3 linked regions of the Mus musculus genome follow. The protein of the gene in region 2 interacts with the protein of the main gene of each other region in a biochemical or structural test. Links are inferred from orthologs where the notes say so. Each region holds a gene or a part of one and is shown on either strand. Other genes may lie near its edges.

Region 1 (6,480 bases), about 24 Mb from region 2:
AAGGCTTATGGAACACTAGGCAGGTCCCCTCGCTCAGTGAGGTTAGTCTGATGTTTGTTCTGAGATTGACACTTGTGCTTTTTGTTTTTCAAGAATCCCCGGGGTTCTGGAGAAATGGCTCAGCAGTTAAGAATACTTGCTGCTATTGCAAGTGTTACCCATCCCTGTAACCACTTCAGACATTTCCCAGGGCCCCCTGCTTTCAAACCCTCTCCTGTGCCAGGGGGAACTTTTCAAACCACAAATCTGATCATGTTACTACTTGACCTGAGTTCTCCCAAAAGCTTCTCAGGCTTCAGACTCTTCTGAGCTCTGTGACCCTGCACCTGGTCCTGCCATCCATTACATCATCTCCCCGCACTGCCCCTCTCACCACAGGATCTCTGGTGTTCCCACTGCCTGGAACATTTCCCCCTAGTCGGTACCTAACTCCCCTTCATCTGCAGTAGGCTCACTTTCTCCAGATTAGGTCCTGACCCCTTAACCTCTCTGATGACAAACTCATTCCAACTGTAACTTCCCATTCAACTGTGTGGCACTTGGTGGGAATGTCGCTTCTGCTAAGGATGATCCTGAGTGCTTCTGCCACTGTGGCATTTACCTGCCCCAACTCAGTCTGACCACAGAATCAAAGGAGCCAACAATCTCAGTTTGCTGTCACCCTAAATAGAGTCCCAGAGAGGAACAGGGTTCGTCTATTTGCACACTTGACCCCAAAGTCCACAACCCTATTCAGCCCAACATGCCTAAGACTGGAGTAACTGAAGCTGGCAGGGGAGTGCCCTGCCTTACCAAAGGAGGGCAGGCACAGTATTGGACATACCAGTTCTCAAAAGTTTATAGGCTCCAAGAGGACTAGCACCAACCACCTCTTAGTTCACACAGGAAGACTAAGGCCTAGAACATGGCAGGCACTTAGTGAGAGGGAGACAGATCAGAGGTTGACCTAAACCAAAGATGTAGGTCTTCCAGTCCTGTCCTGGGCAGCTGTATACTTTTCTGAAGATAGGAGAGCAGCTAAGAAGACCTTGGAGGGGCCAAAATCAGATAGTCTCTGGACTCATTCCTGCCATTCTCTCACTGGAGGGCTAATGGCCTATTTACAAATAGGGAAACTGAGGCTGGAGGCATTCAATTAGTTGGACCAGAGCCATACCTGGAAGGCTGGACTTGGATATACACCCTTAAATGTGTGACGTCCCAAGAGCCCACCCACAAAAGGACACAGGGCCCTGTAGCATATCAGCAAGTGACCAGGCAGCTGTTGGTCAGCCTGGCTCAGGCAGTAGATAGTGACCTTGAACCCTGAGGTCTCCTCACCCAGACCCTGTGTCGGGGTGGGTGAGGGGCACATGCAGAATCAGAATTCACAACTCATCGCGGTGATGAGCTGGCCAGGTCATAGGAAGGAAAATCCTACCAGTCACATCCAGAAATAACTTTTTTAACAGGTGAGTAATGTTGGCAGTAGCTTGATAGTGGTGGTACATGCCTTCTTCAGTCCCAGTGCTCGGGAGACAGAGGCAGTCGGATCTTGTGAGACTGAGATCTGCCTGCTTCTGTCTTCCAAGTGCTGGGATTAAAGGTTTGTACCACCATCACCTGACAAACTGTTTCCAAGGTAGAGTTCCTGGGCTGCCTGTTATGGGAGAAATGGGCAATTTTGTGTTCTGAGTTCCTGGATAGATGGTTTCTCTAGGGAAGGCTAGATGGGGAGTGCCTGTGGGCAGCGGCAAGGTGCACGCACCACTGTAAGAACACGGGTCTGGACTCTCACGTATGAAAGTATAAAGCAGGAAAAGGGAACAGAAGGCAGGATACAAACAGCTGCCAGATGACCGGTAAGATCGTTCAGGGCCAGGAGCGTGCCAAGAGGGAAGGAGGTCCCTAGGCAGAATTATAGATTGGGAGATGCCAGGCAGGCACTAACCTGCCTGTCTAACCTGGCAAAGGGTAGCATTCAGTAAGGTGCCTTGTGGCTTCTCACACTCTCTTTCCTTGCCAGATCCTGCTCATCTCTGACTACTTCTATGCCTTCCTGCGGCGGGAGTATTACCTCACACACGGCCTCTACTTGACTGCCAAGGACGGCACTGAGGCCATGCTTGTGCTCAAGTAGCCCTGGCTGGCACAGCGCTGCATGGACAAGAGGGGGAAGGGCCAGAAGCTGGGCCAGGTCCCTCATCCAGAGTTGCCAGCAGGCGCGTCCTCAGGCAGAAGAAGTTCAAGTCCAGGGTCACAAATCTCTGGCACCAAAGGGGACTCATAGCTGGCAACAAGGCCCATGGGGAGAAGCTAGGAGCACCCCACTTGGACCCCCACTTTGTGACTGTGCACAGAAAGGAAGCAGCCGGTGAGCAGGGCTTTATAGGTTGTGACTACTTAATAAATGTGTGGATCTTTTTTTTTTCATTGTTGTTCTGATGACATGTATTCCTGGAGTGGAGTGAGCTTGGCCCCCTAATACTACGTGCTATCCTGTACTAAGGAGTGGGTTTCTGGGAACACGCGTCTGTCTCTGTGTGTGAACACAGTCACCTAGCAGCCCTCCCTGCTCCCAAACAAGCAGCTGGAGGCAAAGGGCCAGGCAGGCCTGAGCAGTCTTTATTCTTTCTGCAGAGGAAATGACCACAGATCCATACACCGAGTCAGGACAAGGGGAGCCAGCCTTTCAGGGGTGGGGCAGGTCCTGGCAGGAGGCAAAGCCTCAGGTGGATGAGGGGCAAGATGGGCAGACAGGCAAGGGCCTAACAAAATGACAAACCCCACAGAGCAGGGATGCTGCTCCCCACCCACTCCCAACCCAGCCAGCACCCAAAAGAGCAACCCGAACATGACTGGCCCAGGACCTACCCAGGATGTGGTAGGCTGGCTGGTGGCCCCTACCTGGGGGGGGGAGTGGGTGTCACATCTCTGCCTAATCCACTGGGGACTGAAATAGCTTAGTTTAGGAGCCAGGACCTCCCTGGGGAGAACCTGACCAGAACTCCCAGCCACCCCCCTCCCCTCCTCTTGACTCAGAAGCCGAAGGTTTCTTGGGAGGCGTAGACCATGTAGAGGAATCCGTCTTCATCCTTCTCCTGTTCATAGATGTCAGCGATGGGTGTGGAGACGCTCACCATGCTGTGCTGGTTGACCAGCAGGAAGAAGGCCTGCGTGGGGTTGAGTTGCAGGCGGCGCCTGTGGAGGCAGGCAGGCATGCCAGGTGAGGAGGCTGCCTGCTGGAGGCCTAGGTGACCCTCCCAAAATGTTACTGAACCTTCACTTTCGGTCCATCTCAGCCAGAGGCTCTCACCTCTACTGAAGCTCGTCCCAACCCCGACCTTGGTCTTTTCCAGCCTCCTAGAACAGGGGCCCGGTGTCCCAAATCAGTCCCCTCGCCCCACTCCATCCCTTCTTGTGGAACCTGACCCTGCCCCACCCAAGGCCTGTAGGAGGCTGCCCACGCACCGGATGATCTTGACCAACTCGCTCATGTTAACATGGTCTGGGACCAGAAACTTGGTCTTATCCAGGACAGGCAGCTGCTTCTCACCCTTGTAGCGCTCGATGATCACCTGGAGTGGAGTGGGCGGGGGACTCGTAAGCCAAGGGCGGGACCTGGCAGGGCAGGGCGTGGCTGGGGGGTGCTAGAGACTCACCGGGATCTTACTGGGGTGCTGGTCGCGGATCTGCTGCACCTCCTTACAGCGGTCGGCTGCGGACAGAGCTCTGTGTGAGGCCCAGCGGTGCTGAGGCCTCCCGCGACTCCGCCTCGCTGATCCCCGAGGGGCGGCTCCCGGCCCGCCCCGCCCCAGCGCCCGCCCCCGGGGCCGTCGGCCCCGCAGCCCTCCACCGGGGGGACGCGGTAGGGAGGCGGGCGACCCTGCCAGGCCTTGCGGCCTCTCCACCCGGGGTCCGGCCGGCCGGTGCCTGACGTCATGGGGCTGACGTCACCTGCGGCAATCGGGGTCGACTGGCACCCCCATCCCTCGATCCCCGATGGCAGTTCGCCCCCCAGGGCCTCACCGAAGCTGCGCCGCTGCTTGAAAGGCCGGTCGGAGGGCATCGCGCGGGCCCGGCGGGGCGCGCAGCCGGGGCTCCGGGGTGCGCGGCTCAGAGATGCGTCTGCGGTTCGGCGCGCCGGGGGCTCCGGGGCTCGAGCTCAAGGGCTGCGGGGCTCGCGCTGAGCCTGGCGGTGGCGGCTGCGGGAGGTAACTCGCCTGGGTGACGTCAGGTCACAACATTCCTTAAAGGGGAGGCCGGCGCGCCGCTCCCATTGGGCCGACGGAAAACCCGCCTGCCTGGACCTGTGACGCCACGGCGCAGACAGCCCGGATTCCCGGCGCAGGTCGTAAGGAGGCGGAGCTCCAGGGCGCGTCACAGTTCTGTGACGTCACGATGGCAAGCTCCTCTCTTTGGCGCCACAGACTCAGAAGCCAGGCATTTGTCGCCTCCATCCAGTCTCTCGACGCTGCGGAGTAGTTCACCGCACCTTCATCGAGTTTAGCATTCGAGAAGGAAGGTGGAGCGGGGAGAGGATGGAACACCCAGAGTTTTAAAATTTTTAATGTGTCTGTAAGTGTATGCCCGCGGATGCAGAACATAGCATCGGATTTCCTTAGGCTGGAGTTAATCGCACTGCTGGGAATCAAGCTTAGGTCCTCTGAAATAATAGCAAGGGCTCTTAATTGTCGAACCATTGCTCCAGACCCCCCACCCAGGCTTTCAAAGAATTCTGGAACAACCATAGAAAGCATAGATTTCCAGAGTGAGGTTGGTTAATAGGTGGTTTAGATAAAGCAGGAGAGAATCGCTGAATGGGGGGGCTATATCAGAAGTGGTTAACCATGAGATGGAGAACATTCGGAACTGACAACACGCGAAGTCAGATTTTACAGGTAGAGCCCCTTGGTAGGATAGAAAGAAGTATGGTCTGGGAATGTTACCGAGGGTCAGGGTAGGATACTTGCCTAGCAGATGGAAGGCTTAAGTTCAGTATCTCAGGTTTTGCGGGAGGTGGAGGGGATAGAGGGACTGGACGGACACGGAGAGGCGGCCCCTTGAAGAACTTTAAAAATCGATTGAAAGCCAGAATCAATGCCAGATGTAGCTGGCTCTCATTTGTAGTCCTAGCTCTATGGGAGTTTGAGGCAGGAGGATGGGCTAGAGTTGAAGTAAGGAAGAAAAAAGATAAAACAAAAGAATTTACAAAGGACCATTGTTTGAAAAAAAAAGTTAGTTTGTACTTCAGAAACATACAGCTCAAAGGGAAGAAATTTGATGGGAACCAAGTTAACAGATGCACGCTTGAGTAATTCTAAACAACTGCTTATGGACAGAAATGGTAGTGATTGGTACAAAAACAAGCTGCTAAGGTAACAAGAATTCAGCTGAGATTGCCTTAAAGAGGCTGGGTGGCGGTGCCTCCTTAACCCCAGCTCTGTGGGCAGAGACGGGATGGTCTCTTGAGTTCAAGGCCAGCCTGGTCTAGATAGTGAGACCTTGTGTTTTGGGTTTTGTTTTGCTTTTTAAATGTCTTAGGGAGCTGGATTTGTTTGGAAAGATATTATTGTCTGCTTGGTCAGGTAGGGTGCTTGCCCGCAAGCATGAGGATGTGGGTTCAATTTTCGGAATATGTTAGATCCTAGAGGCTCCACCTACAAAGGGATTCAACCAGGCCTTATATCCCATCTCTACCTTCTCCAGGCAGCTCAATGCCTGGTATGTGGCAGCCCCAAATTAGGGTGGGGCGGTAGGATTACTTCCCTAAATTATGACCTTAAGTCCTATTTAGTGCCTTCACTAACCTTAGACACCTTCCCCTACAAGAAAATCTGTTAGTGCAAGGATTAGCCTTTGTTTTGAGGTTTCTGCAATGTTCTGGCTTCCCTTTCAGCAAGTGACAGGATTACTAAATCTGTCTCAGGACATCTCTCTACTGAATCCGAGAAGAATTTTTTTTAATATTTTAAATATTAAAATATTTTCTGTCTATGGTGGTAGAAGAACAACTTCCACACAGCAAATAGATAAATGTAAAAAAAAAAAAAAAAAAGACACAGCAGGAAAGATCATTAAGAGAATAGAAATGGGGCTGGAGAGATGGCTCAGGGGTTAAGAGCACTGACTCCTCTTCTAGAGGTCCTGAGTTCAAATCCCAGCAACCACATGGTGACTCGCAACCATCAGGAATAAGATCGGATGCCCTCTTATGGTGTGTCTGAAGACAGCTACAGGGTACTCACATATACAAAATAAATAAATAAGTAAATCCTTTAAAAAAGAGAGAGAGAATAGAAATGTAAAATATGGTTTTAAATACTGAAAGGGTGGGTAGTGAAGGGCTCTGAACCATGGGAGCCAGAAGCGGATCATGTAGGAACGTAAATAGGAAGGTAAATAGCACAGACCTGGAGGAGTCTCGTACTCACCTATAAAAACGCCACATCCTTGGGGTGCGGCTCAGTGGGTAGAGTACATGCCTCCCATGCAGGACAC
Region 2 (5,367 bases):
ATGTAGAGAGACCCTGTCTTAAAATACAAAACAAAACAAAAAACCCCAATATTATGAAACCGTATTGCCATCTATCACATATGTGATTCTCAGCTAGCTGAATGCACCCTTGAACATGGCTTTCCCAAGCTTTCCCCTTGAACATGGCCTTTAATAAATATTCAATGCCTGTCAAATCAATGGAGTTTTTTTTTATTTACTAATTTATTTATTATATGCAAGTATACTGTAGCTGTCTTCAGACACACCAGAAGAGGGCATCAGATCTTATTACGGATGGTTGTGAGCCACCAGTGGTTGTTAGGATTTGAACTCAGGACCTTCAGAAGAGCAGTCAGTGCTCTTAACCACTGAGCCATCTCTCCAGCCCCCTCAATGGAGTTCTTAAGGAGTGGAATTAAAGGTTCATATCCCCTACCCCATCACACCCAGCCTGAGGGTTCTGACTTTTGGCACATACACAATGGTTATAATCACATGGTTATGTCATCCCTGAGACTGTACTAATTATAGAGTGTTACTTTACTATTAAAGCAGATGAGAGATCTTGACATATTGGGCAGGAATGCTTTGGTGTAAAAAATTTCACTCTACATGTCTCCTGGCCAACAGACTTTCCTTTTGCAGGGGTAGGGGGAATGTCAGCACTCACCTGTATAATAGTGCATCTATGGACAATATGGACTGTAGGATCTGAGTGATTCTATTCCTAGGGGATATAATGAGTCATGTTTTTGAATCTTGCCTGCATGGGAATTTCTAGAAAAGGTCCCCAGGTCTGAGGGGGCATGATAAGACACTGGTCCCTGATGATGTAATGGAGCATACCCATGATGGGTATCTCTCATCTCTGACAGAGTCCCATAAATGAAGGTGTCTAGCAAGGGAAAGGAAGTGGAGTGGCACTGTACTGAATTCAATAACAGCAGGGCCCTCTGGGACTTGCTGTGGATAGAGAAGTCAGAGTTCTTGGGCTTCTGGGAATTCTTCACCAGAGAAAGAATGTGGGCAGGGCTCTGTTGCCTGTGCGTCTGTGCATGGGTGCTTACGAAGCACTGATTACTCCAGCCAACAGTCATCCTCCTAAAGGAATTTGTTTTCTTACGTGTGTAAATAAGAGTACCCGGGTGTGGGTACAGATGCTCCTTCCATTCCCTGGGTTCTGGTTCACCTTGTCCAGACCTCTTCCAACTCTCCCTTCAACACAGCTATGAATCCTACTGCAGCTGAAGGCAACACATAAACATTGGACTCCTGGAACCTGACAATGCCAAAGCCTTCCTCTTTCTGAAGGTGGCATCTAAGCGGCCAGCTGAGATAAAGGTGCCATTGAATGCTGGCCTGGTCATCAAAATGTGCAAAGAACAGGGAAGGCCTCTGAGACTTCCTACACATTCTTGACCTAAGAGATGCTTAGTGGCCAGTCTTTAAATCTCGCCATGTGGGTAACCTCTGTAGGGCTACATGTTGTATTATTGAGACTAGTCTTTCAAAGCTATACTAGAATGGCAACACACTAAAACTAGTACCTATGCACAACTGTTCACTAGCATGGCCAGTATGGCTCTGAGAAAGGGCACAAAGACCAGGGTTCGTTAGAAACGAAGGTGATAAAAGTTGTGCAGACAACTTGGGGTCATTAGGGCATGTAGGGAAGATTGTAATTGCAACCCCCATCCCTGATTTCTCTAAGGTTTGTGTTCACAATAAAGCCCAGAGATGGAATTGGCTCCACAATTATCCCTTGTCCAGCAAAGGGCACCTTGAGAGAACTCATGAGGATAGCCTCAATAGACATCATTGTATTTCATTTTCTGGAGACTGGCTGGCCTGGAATTTGCTGTGTAGACCAAGCTGGTCTTGAACTCACTTAGAGATCCGCCTGCCTCTGCCTCCTGAGTTCTGGGATTAAAGGCGTGAGCTATCATACCCACCCTAAACCTAATTGTGTCCCTGCTGTAGGAGTAACTAGTCTTTCTGCCCAAGGAGCACCTATCTCACTGAGGTTTGTACACCCAAAAGCCCCAGCACCTTTTCATTTAAAAGTGATAATGTGTCAGATGGTGGTGGCACACGCCTTTGATCCTAGCACTTGAAAGAGACAGGTGGATCTCTGAATTTGTGGTCAGCCTGATCTACCGAGTGAATTCTAGGACAGCCAGGGCTACACAGAGAAACAGTCTAGGGTGGGGTGGTGATAACATGTATCCATCCTTTAAGAAATTTGGAACTCACAAGATTTGCACAGATAAACTCTTTTAATTATCCTGATAAAACTAGAATATATTAGCATCAATGTATGCATACTTTCCATCTCACAGGTGAGAATATATTAGCATGTATGTGTGGGTGTGGGCGTGGGTCTGTGGGTATGTGTGTGTATACACACACATACTCACCCCATCTCACAGGTAAGAAAAGTGAGGCACAGAGGTGAGGCCTACACCTGACCAGGGAGGAGAAAGAAGCATGATGGAGATGAAGGCTGCTCTCTCAAAGACTGCCATTACCAATATGCACTCTGCCTCTCACACTCTCACCTTAGCTCAGCCAGCCAGGGCAGGAGGGCAAGAACTTGTACTCACACCCTCTGAGATAAGTACTAGGCAAGTATCTGTATCCTTCAAACTCAGAGGAGCCCAGTAAAAGGAAGAGCTGCCCGCTATCTACATTGGGAACAAGACTAGAGAAGCTAGACATCTGCTAAAGGCCAGGGAAAGGGTGGAACTGATGCAAGCCCAGCCTGAGTTCTGCCCACTAGGTATCTCATCATCCAGTATAGGGAGAGAATGGAGACCAGGAGTGGAGAAGCGAGGAGGGGGTAAGGAGGTTGGAGAAAAGCTCCCTCCCAGGGGCTTCCTCAGGCCTGGCAGTTGCTTCTGGCTTTCTTAAGAGTCCACAGAGAACCTCCAGACTCACCCTCAGGGTTGACTGGCTGTGGAGAGGGCCCAAAGGGGCAGAGCACTCAAAGCTCCCTAGAGACCAGCCACTCTGTTACTCCCAGGCTCTCCTGCCAAGGCCTTAGACCAGGCTGCCGGTGGAAGGCATAAGATGCTATGGGAGCACTCATCAGTGTACCTACGCTTGTGTTTCAGAAGATCTGGGCGAGATGAGGGGCATTGTCAACAGTGCGATACCTCCTCATCTTCAGGCTTGGGCCAACAGGGATAAAGCTGGTGGAGATACCTCCTTAGGAGCACAGAGCATGAACTCTTACACTGCCACGTGGGCAGGTCAGGAGCAATGGAGGTAACACAGTGCCTCCAAAAGCTGAAGACCAGAAGATGACATATGAACCAGGATAAAACAATGTCTCTCCCCCACCCAACAGTGATGACGTCTTGGTGTAGCTATCTACCTGGATAGCTCAGTGGACCTCGCCATATTTAAGTTTCTCTGACTCAGCCTCTACTAGCCCAAGCCTAGAGAACATGCTTGGCAGAACTGAGCAAGAGAACAGCATACAGCTGAGGCTTCACTGGGCCAGGCGCCTACTACGGTACAGCATCACTGCCAGGAATACAGCCAAGAGTGCACTGGTGGCCCCAAGCCACTTAGCCCAGGGCATTGAACTGGCACAATGTTCTTCCTCTTCTTGGGGCTGCTGGGTGGCTAGTGGCTCAGGGCTTCCTAATAGATCAGCACTGGGGCTTTCGTCTACCTGGATTCTAAAGGACGAATACTCATTCTCCTCTGGACCATGGTTGGGTTCTGAGACCAAGGAGCTGCTAGGGCTAATGGCAAGGTCCACAGAGCAGGCTGAGAATGGCTCGTCCAACTGGGATACCAGCACACCTGGCTTGCTCATCTCTGGTCCAGAGTGCAAGCTCCTGATACTGCTATTTGGTCCAGTCTGGTTGCCTCCAGTGGTGACTTTGGTTGCTGGACCCTCCGGGGTCTCCTGGAAACATAAGAAGAGGGGTCCAGGTGACAGGGAGATAAGCCAGAGTGTATTGAGGGCTTGAGTTAGTATCTCACAATAGTCGAGACTACCCTCTCTTGGGGACTCAACACATTAGGACACAGCTGAGTGGGAGGTGACCCCTTCTAGGGCAGCCCTCTTCTTCTCACCAAACTGCTGTGAGCTCTACTGCAAGGGAGCCCTTGCTTGGGGTGTGAACCACCTTGTGCTACCTGGGCCTGAGAGCCACAGGGCAGGCACAAGATCCCAAGGTGTATGGTCTTGGGGAAAGTGACTATAGGGGTCAGGAGGTTGAAGGAACTGCTCCAAGCAGGATGCTTGAGACCACTGTCAAATGAACAGGGCACTAGGACATGTGATCCACCATGTTCACTCCTCACTACTCCATCTACTAAATGGTACTGCTGAGCTTCACTGGGGTCTTTGAGCTCCAGATGAGTTAATACACATCAGCGGGGGTAGCCCCACCCTGCTAGAGGTCCCTCCTTAGAAGTGTTCATGTTTATCAATCCTCTTAGAAAACAAGGTGCAAGGGCTGGGTGGGGCTGCTCCCCATCTGTCCCAACACCTTGAAGAAACAGACGAGGGACCGCACAGAAAGTAAGAGTCTGAGGACAAAAGATCAGCTGTCTTGGCAAGGTAGCCCGAGTCACTCTCAGGAACAAGGACTCACCTTGGCTTGCTTGCTGTTCCTCTCAGGTGGTATTGTGTTGGCAGGTGCTTTGGCCACACTAGCAGGCACTCTGGATGGCACTGTGCCCGCATACACTGAGTTGCTGGGTAATTTTGATGGCGCTGTATTGGTGAGCACAGTAGACGTCATCGCAGCAGTGGACTTTGAACTGAGGGGCAACTTGGAAGACATGGTTTTTACTGGGACCAATCTGGGAGAAGGCACTGAGCTGGTAGTCACAGAATTGGTGAGTGTAGTACTGAAACAGGTGGCAGCTTTGGCCTGGTCACCAGCTCCCTTTGCAAAAGCTGATCCAGTGGACGAGGAGGACAAAGAGGTATCAGCAGATAGGGCTGATACTGTGACCCCAGACAAGAGGTTTGTCCTCAGGGCAGTACGTGGAAGGGGCTGGAAGGAAACGGTTGGAGACACAGGTCCATAGGTTGCTATGGGAACAGAGGCAACATCTACAGGTGGGGAAGACAAAAGCAGAAACAAATGCAAAGGGTGGTTTTAACTTAAGGGCTAGAGAAGGGTCCCCATGTCCTTGATCACATGGTCCCTTCCACATCCTGTCTCCCAATCTCCTCCTGTGGAGAAGACTCTTGCACCTCAGCCGTTACCTTGAAACCCTCATCTGTCCCATCACCAAAGTAAAATGGGCTCTACCTTCATCTGCACCCAGAAGTTTAAAACTTGTTCTAATTATTTTTTTTTCCTTCCACCCTGGACACTTGCCTCTTCTCCCACTCCAGCCTCTTCTACCTTGTCC
Region 3 (7,292 bases), on a different chromosome or scaffold from region 2:
AGTGTGTATTGGGTTAGTGCCAACTGTGGCTCCATGGAAAAATGGCTTTTCCACAATGCCTGCTGATAACTCACCTGACACCAGGGACTAAAGGGTAAAGTCAGAAGACCTGTGATGAGAAACACCGTAAATCTGTGGATAAACCAGTCTCATCTGTGTCTAGTCTAAAAGGTTCTTTCTCAGGAGTGCAGTGTATGTATCATGGGATACAACTACTTCTTACATTCCTCAATAAATTCAGTGGAGGTTATTATGACATCAAAAATTGATAGAAAATTGATAAATGATAAATGATTGAAAAATGATAGATTATTATATTATAACAAAATATCTTGAACTGGAGACATGGCTCACCAGTTCAGAACACTTGCTGGTCTTCCAGACAACTAAAGTTCAGTTCCCAGTACCCATACCAGCTGGTTCACAACCGCAGATTAGGCCAGTTGAAGGCATCAGACTCATCTTTCTGAGCTCCACAGGCACATGTGGCATACATACACAGACGCCCACACATATGCATTCATGCACATACATACACAGACACAAGACACACACAAATAAACGTTTTTTTTTTCTAAAGAAAATAAAGTCTTTCAGTTCCTAACAAAATAGTAACCTATTGAATTAAAGCAGTGGTTCTCAACTTTTCCTAATACAGTTCTTTATACAGTTTACTTTAATACAGTTCTTCATATTATGGTGACCCTCCAGCCACAAAATTATTTTGTTGCTATAATTGTAATTTTATGGAGGAGCAGTGTCTCAGTTCCTAAGGCCATTGGGAATATGTGTTTTCTGATGGGCAAGACCCACAGGTTGAGAAACACTGAATTAAAGTTTGAATTCAAATGAAAAAAACACATTCTAGATTTTTTTTTTTAATGTATGACTCTCTTGCTGTCTTCAGACACACCAAAACAGGCATTAGACCCATTACGGTTGGTTGTGAGCCACCATGTGGTTGGGAATTGAACTCAGGACCTCTGGAAGAGCAGTCAGTGCTCTTAACCGCTGTGCCACCTCTCCCGCCCCTACAGTCTACATTACTAAGGGGTTGATTGACAGATGAGCTTCATGAGTACACAGGACCCTTTGAACTCTTGTTGACTTTGATAAAATATTTGCATCTCCAAAGAAAGTCTCACAATGCACCTTAGCATTGCAATAGGGATTTAACAATATACAAGTCATTGACCTTCAGTACTTGGCAGAAAAACTTAAGGTTTTCTGCAGAGGCAAAAGTCAAAACGCCCCAAATCCATGTAAAAAAAAATCTCTAAACAGGGGCTGGGGAGAAATAGCCCTCTGTAAGGGCAGTGTGGACTCAGCCTCCTAATCTTCTTGTCTCTACTTTCCCAGTGCTGGGATTTCATGCATGTCTGTCTTTGTGCCTTGGGTCTTACACATTCTAGGTGACCCTGAAACATGCTCAGTTCCCTGAACAACAGATATTGAAGATTTAGAAGTGAGACGTAAGTGAAATAATATATACAAAAAAGAAAGGAAAAAAAAAAAAAAAAAGAGGCACCCTCATCAGCGTATTCTGATTTGTCATTGTTTTTTAAGCACAATACACACAAAACAAAACTTGCCTGAAAATTAAATTCTGGGGGCTAGAGAGATGATTCAGAGCATTGACTGCTCTTCCAGAGAAACCAGGTTATATTCCCAGTGACCAAGGGGCAGCTCACAACTCTCTGTAACTCCAACTCCAGGAGACCCAGATGCCCTCTTCTGGCTTCCATGAGTATTGCATGTGGTTCACAGACACATCCAGGCAAAATACCTATACACATAAAAAAATTACTAATAGCAATACTGAAGATAAATTTTTTAAATCAAAGAAATGATTTAATTTAAAATAAATTAAATTTTACCTCTAGATCTGACAGCTGAGTATGAATGCAAGTTATAAAACCTTACAAAAATATTTGCTTTAATTCAACCTTAAAGTGAATGAAATAGACAGGCCTGAGGTCTGGTATTTCTACACTTGATCTTAGCCAAAAGGCTGAGAAGTGTAGGTGTAGTATTTCTGAAAGTGTTCAGCTTTCAGTAGTTGCTGTAATCAAAGTAACCTCTATAATATGAGTGGATACTTTTGAGAATGAAAGGAAGGGCTGTTGACATTTATGAGGGGACAAAGGTAAAGCCAAGACTGTCCCTGGCAAATGACAAGGAACTATTGTTGGGGCTATAGCCATAAAATCCTCCACACCCTGTGTGACCTGCCAATGGCCTTGCCCTATGAACACATTGGTTGCCTGTATAAGACCAGGCCAGTCAACTTTCCAACCTAAATAGGAAAGGGTTCATATGGCCCCACCTCACACTGAGGAGCTATTGGCAATTGATAGTTTCTGGGGTTGTGGCATTGTAGTGGCCTATGCTCCAGTGGGTGGTCCCATACCATTTGCATACAATTAATACTAACTCTGTGTGTGTGTGTGTGCGTGTGTGTGTGCAGGCAAAACTTTCATGTGAGTAAAATTAAAATACACAAATCTAAAACATTTTTATTTAAAAATTAACAGTTTGGGTTTTAATGACAGAACAGAAGAGAGGAGAGGTTAGTGGGGATGGAGAGGGAGGAAGGAGGGAGCACCGTCTTCCTGGGCACAAAAGAGCAAGAGGAAGGGTTAAGAAGTGTTGAGCTACTAATGGAAATGTCGGTGACCCTGGCTGATACTTTCCTTGTCAAGCTAAAGTCCACAGGTCAGGCAAGCTGATGTGTGTGTGTGTGGGTAGGTGGGGAATCTGAGAAGTACAGAGACAGAGGAAGTAACAGACAGGCCAAACAGAACAAAGGATGACTCAAAGATGCTGGGGTACCAGAGACAGGAAGGAATACCCAACAGAAGGCAGGGTCTGGGAGTGAGAGATCTGCTGGGGTGGTAACAAGCCTTCCTGGGGCTGCCAGCGATCAGTTCCACTCCCCAATTACACCTGAGTGGACTTTGTCACTTCGTCTTTCTGTTCTCTGAATCTGCTTCAGAAAGATATGTTTAATTAGTTCAAGGTCCAGGAAGTCTTGCTCTACTTTATAGGCAGCAGGCACTCTCGGTTTCTGTTCTTGAGAGACAGGGAGAGAGGACTGACCATCTGTTTTCTTCTCTTTAGAATATTCCCCATTTATCGCTGACTCTTTTCTGTCATTATTTATTTAACCCCCCCTTCCCTCATTCTCCTCTAATCCTCTCCCTGAGATACTCTTCAACCTCTGCCTCCTGCTTCCTTCTCTCTTACAAGCACCAGGCCTTGGATTTCTGTACTTTCACATCTCAGATTAGCCCTGCTGTTCCATCATGGCAGGCCAACCTCTGGCCTGCCAACTGCAGGAGGAGGTGACCTGCCCCATCTGCATGGAAATTCTACAAGATCCTGTCACCATTGACTGTGGGCACAACTTCTGCCTGCAGTGTATCAGTCAGGTTGGAAAAACGTCAGAAAAGATCCAATGTCCTCTCTGCAAACTCTCTGTGAATAAGAATACGTTCAGGCCCAATAAGCTGCTGGCTAGTCTTGCAGAGAAGATCCAAAGTATGGATCCTGCTGACATCCAAGCAGAAAAGGAAGACTCAAGATGTCAGAGGCACAAGGAAAAGCTACATTACTTCTGCGAGCAGGATGGGGCATTCCTCTGTGTGGTGTGTCGTGACTCCAAGGACCACAAGTCTCACAATGTCACCTTGATAGATGAGGCTGCCCAGAACTACAAGGTAGGCACCTGGGCCCTTCTCTGCCCCCAGCCCAGCAGAGTAGAGTTCACTGGGGAGGCCCCAGTTGATTGACACCCATTGCTGTACTCTTTGTACTTGAGTTGGCCATTTATAGCCAGGTCCAGTGGGCTCAAAGAATTGAGTTCTAGAAAATGCCAGTCTGTAACCAAAGCAAGACGAAGAATCAGAATAGTACTCTAGGGGCAGGCGAAATGACCCAGAGGGTAAAAGTGCCTGTCTTGACCATAAGGACCCACATAGTAGAAGGAGAAAATTGGTTTGATCCCTGGGACATGCAAAATAAAAGGAGAGAACTCACCCTTGAAAGTTGTCTTCATACACATAAACACAGACACACACACACACACACACACACACACACACACACACACCATAGCACTCTGCTGAACTTGCACACACAATTAATAATGTACTAATTTTTAAACATAATTTTTTATTAATTATTTTTTTTATTTACATTTCAAACATTACCCTTTCTGGTTCCCCTCCATGATCTTTCCACCCTATCCCACCCTTTCTTTTTGCCTTTAAGAGGGTAATGCCCCCTACCCATTCCCACTTCACCCCTCTAGCATCCCCCATCTCTGGGGTATCAAGCCTCCATAAGACCAAACGCATCCCCTTCCACTGAGGCCAGACACGGTGGTTCTTTGATACATATGTAGTGGGGACTATGGGCCAGCTCATGTGTGCTCTTTGTTAAGTGCAAATTTTAACTCAGAAGGTCTCATTCAAGTCCAGCCACTGCTAACTTACAAAGCAGAGCCTGAGACATCCAGATAAGCCAGTGCTCTTCTACCACAGAGCTCCATCCCCTGGTTGGTCCTGGCCCTGCCTCTCTGTGAGGCAGATGAAACCTATCTCTTAAAGAATGTGATAGGACGGATGAGGAGAAGTCTTCCCCTGAGAATACCAAAGCGCCATCCAAATGATCATTAGTAGTATTTTCTCAAGTCACTAAAGTTCCATTTCTTTCCATCACCTCCTTGTTCCTATCGAGAGATGGGGGCCAGGGAGGACTGCTAATAATGACATCAGTACCCTGGAACATCTTCCCTGCCTCTCAAGAGTCAGAGCCTGGCTGAAGCACCCTCTCCTTACAGGTGCAGATTGAGTCACAGGCCCAAGATTTGGGGCAAAAGGACAAGAAAATAATTGAAGAGAAAAAACAAGGTGAAGGGGCAATCTGGGCGTTCAGGGTAAGAAATGCTCATTCCAAACACTTCTGGGGAAACTGAGGCATTGCTGATGAAGCTCCTAGCCTTCCTTTATACAGCAAGCAGGAATAAAATCCTGCTGACGTGGTGGTGAGGGGCAGGGCAGAGGGTGTATGGTGCCTGAGCCGTGCTCCCGAGCCAAGCTCCCTAGCTGTGCTAACTACTGCCTGAATGCTGTGCCAGGTCTTCTGCTCCTCCACCCACAGCAGGCTGTGTAGAGAACACCCACACACTGGCTCACCCAAGCCCTTTCTAACTAGAGACTCCCACAGTAAGAAACGACAGAGACTATGACGCCATTGAACATCTCCACCTCATTTTGTTTGCATGTTTTAAAAAAAGTTTTATTTTTGTTATTTTTATATGTGTGTATATGTATGTGTCTGCATATGAGTAAAAGCCATTCGTGTGAATACTGGAAAAGACCAGACGAACTGGGATTACAGGCACTTGTGAGCTGCCCTACACAGATGCTAGGAACGGAATTCTGGAAGAGTTGAAAGCATTATTTTATTCGTTTGTTGGTTGGTTTACATCCCAAATGCTGACCCTGCCCCCTGGGAATGCCATCACCATCTCCCAGATGCTGTTGACTTGGCTGGCTGGTTTTTGTTACATCCACGGAAAATTCAGTTATGAAGGCAGTTAAGCTGAAAAGCCTTCTTTCTTTATCTTTCTTTCATTCATTTGTTTGTGGTTTTCTCCCATTGACATTTAAGACAATCTTTTATTTATTTATTTATTTATTTATGTATTTATTTATGTATTTATTTATTTATTTATTTATAGATCTATTGTTTATGAATGAATGCTTTGCTAACATAAAATATGTATACCAGATAAATGCCTGGTACCTACCGGTAGAGACCAGAAGAGGGCATAAGATACTTTGTGGGTTATGGGAATTGAATCTGAGTCTTTTGCAAGAGCAGCAAGTGGTCTAAACAACTCACTCTCCAGCTCCTAGACAGAGAATCTGATCTAGCCCAAGCTAGAAATTGTTTGTAGAGAAGAATAGCCTTGAATTTCCAAGCCTCTGTCTTTCTCCCAGTGCTGGATTACAGGGCTATAATAGCATGCCCAGTTTATACAGTGCTGAGGATTGAACCCAGGGCTTCACCCATGCCAAGCAACCACTCCATCAACTGAACTCCACCCTTACCCTGGGTTTTCAATGGTCATATTGTCTGTCTTTTGTGGAGATGGTGGCTCAAGTAGTTGAGCCTGGTCTTAACCTCCTGAAGTGCTGAGATTGCCTACTTGTGCACCAGCACATCTGGCTGGTGGCCTTAAGGCAAATGAAAGCATGCCATCTGGCCTAAATCTGTAAATACTTTGCTTCCCCTTTCCAACAGGTATGCCCAGAAGCTCTTCTGAATTGGTCTCAGTGTAATCTTTAAATACTCTTAAAGCATGAGTGGTGCCAGGTGGTGGTGCACGCCCTTAATTCCAGCACTTAGGAGGCAAAGGCAGGTGGAAATCAGGGCTATCCTGTTGTACTTAACGAGTTCTGGGCTATCTAGGGCTTTATAGTGAGACTCTGCCTAGAAAGAAAAAGAAGGATGGGAATTATGAATTTAAAGGAGGCTTGGAGGACCCTTCTCATGGTCATCTCATATCTGCATCCTCTCCTTCGTCCCCAGGCCCAGGTGGATCTAGAGAAACTAAAGATCCATGAGGAATTCAAGCTCCTGCGCCAGAGACTAGATGAGGAAGAGAGTTTCCTCCTGTCCAGGCTGGACTGGCTGGAGCAGCAGGGAGCCAAGCAGTTGAGACAATATGTCACTGTGACAGAGAAGCAGCTGAACTCTCTAAGGAAGCTCACTAAATCCTTGAAAATAAGGCTGCAATCATCATCCATGGAGCTACTAAAGGTGAGTCCTATGTGAATAAATAGATTCTCTCCTCTCTCTATTTCTCTATTTCTCTCCCTCTCTATTTCTCTCTCTCTCTCTCTCTCTCTCTCTCTCTCTCTCTCTCTCTCTCTCTCTCTCTCACACACACACACACACACACACACACCAGTTTTCTAAAAGACAGTTAAGAATCTGAGTTACATTATGGTCTAACAGCTCCAAATACCTGGCTGCTCAATGCCTTTTGTTACATAAATCTAAATTTTGAAAAAGCCTATGGGCTTCCTGAATTGATATAATAGTCAGATACTTTCCTTTAGAGAAATTTCCCTGACACTCCCTTCAGTGCCATCATCCCAACCATGACCCTTATCTTTCTTACTTTAAGGTATCACATTTGATAAAGCTCCTCACCAGGTTTCAGAGAGTAGCCTCTCCTTCCCCATAAGGCTCCATTCTGTTGTCTCTGACATATTGTG

What was found.
Region 1: the proteins of Mavs (region 2) and Map1lc3a form a complex in vitro, tested with the Homo sapiens proteins (2 studies listed by BioGRID and IntAct, with this or other methods). The link is inferred for Mus musculus from reciprocal best matches to the Homo sapiens genes MAVS and MAP1LC3A.
Region 3: of the proteins of Mavs (region 2) and Trim31, one has a biochemical effect on the other in vitro, tested with the Homo sapiens proteins (2 studies listed by BioGRID). The link is inferred for Mus musculus from reciprocal best matches to the Homo sapiens genes MAVS and TRIM31.

Annotation. Positions count from the first base shown.
Region 1 is NC_000068.7:155,274,175-155,280,654, reverse strand, and holds Map1lc3a (microtubule-associated proteins 1A/1B light chain 3A), read right to left. Parts: upstream 4,292-6,480; 5' UTR 4,049-4,291; coding exon 4,009-4,048; intron 3,698-4,008; coding exon 3,642-3,697; intron 3,558-3,641; coding exon 3,451-3,557; intron 3,181-3,450; coding exon 3,018-3,180; 3' UTR 2,582-3,017; downstream 1-2,581. Other genes in the region: Pigu (phosphatidylinositol glycan anchor biosynthesis class U protein precursor), read left to right, coding at 2,006-2,119. UniProt on the Homo sapiens protein: Ubiquitin-like modifier involved in formation of autophagosomal vacuoles (autophagosomes). While LC3s are involved in elongation of the phagophore membrane, the GABARAP/GATE-16 subfamily is essential for a later stage in autophagosome maturation.
Region 2 is NC_000068.7:131,244,898-131,250,264, reverse strand, and holds the end of Mavs (mitochondrial antiviral-signaling protein), read right to left. Parts: intron 5,063-5,367; coding exon 4,596-5,062; intron 3,902-4,595; coding exon 3,476-3,901; 3' UTR 2,240-3,475; downstream 1-2,239.
Region 3 is NC_000083.6:36,895,049-36,902,340, forward strand, and holds the start of Trim31 (E3 ubiquitin-protein ligase TRIM31), read left to right. Parts: upstream 1-3,081; 5' UTR 3,082-3,305; coding exon 3,306-3,719; intron 3,720-4,843; coding exon 4,844-4,939; intron 4,940-6,600; coding exon 6,601-6,831; intron 6,832-7,292.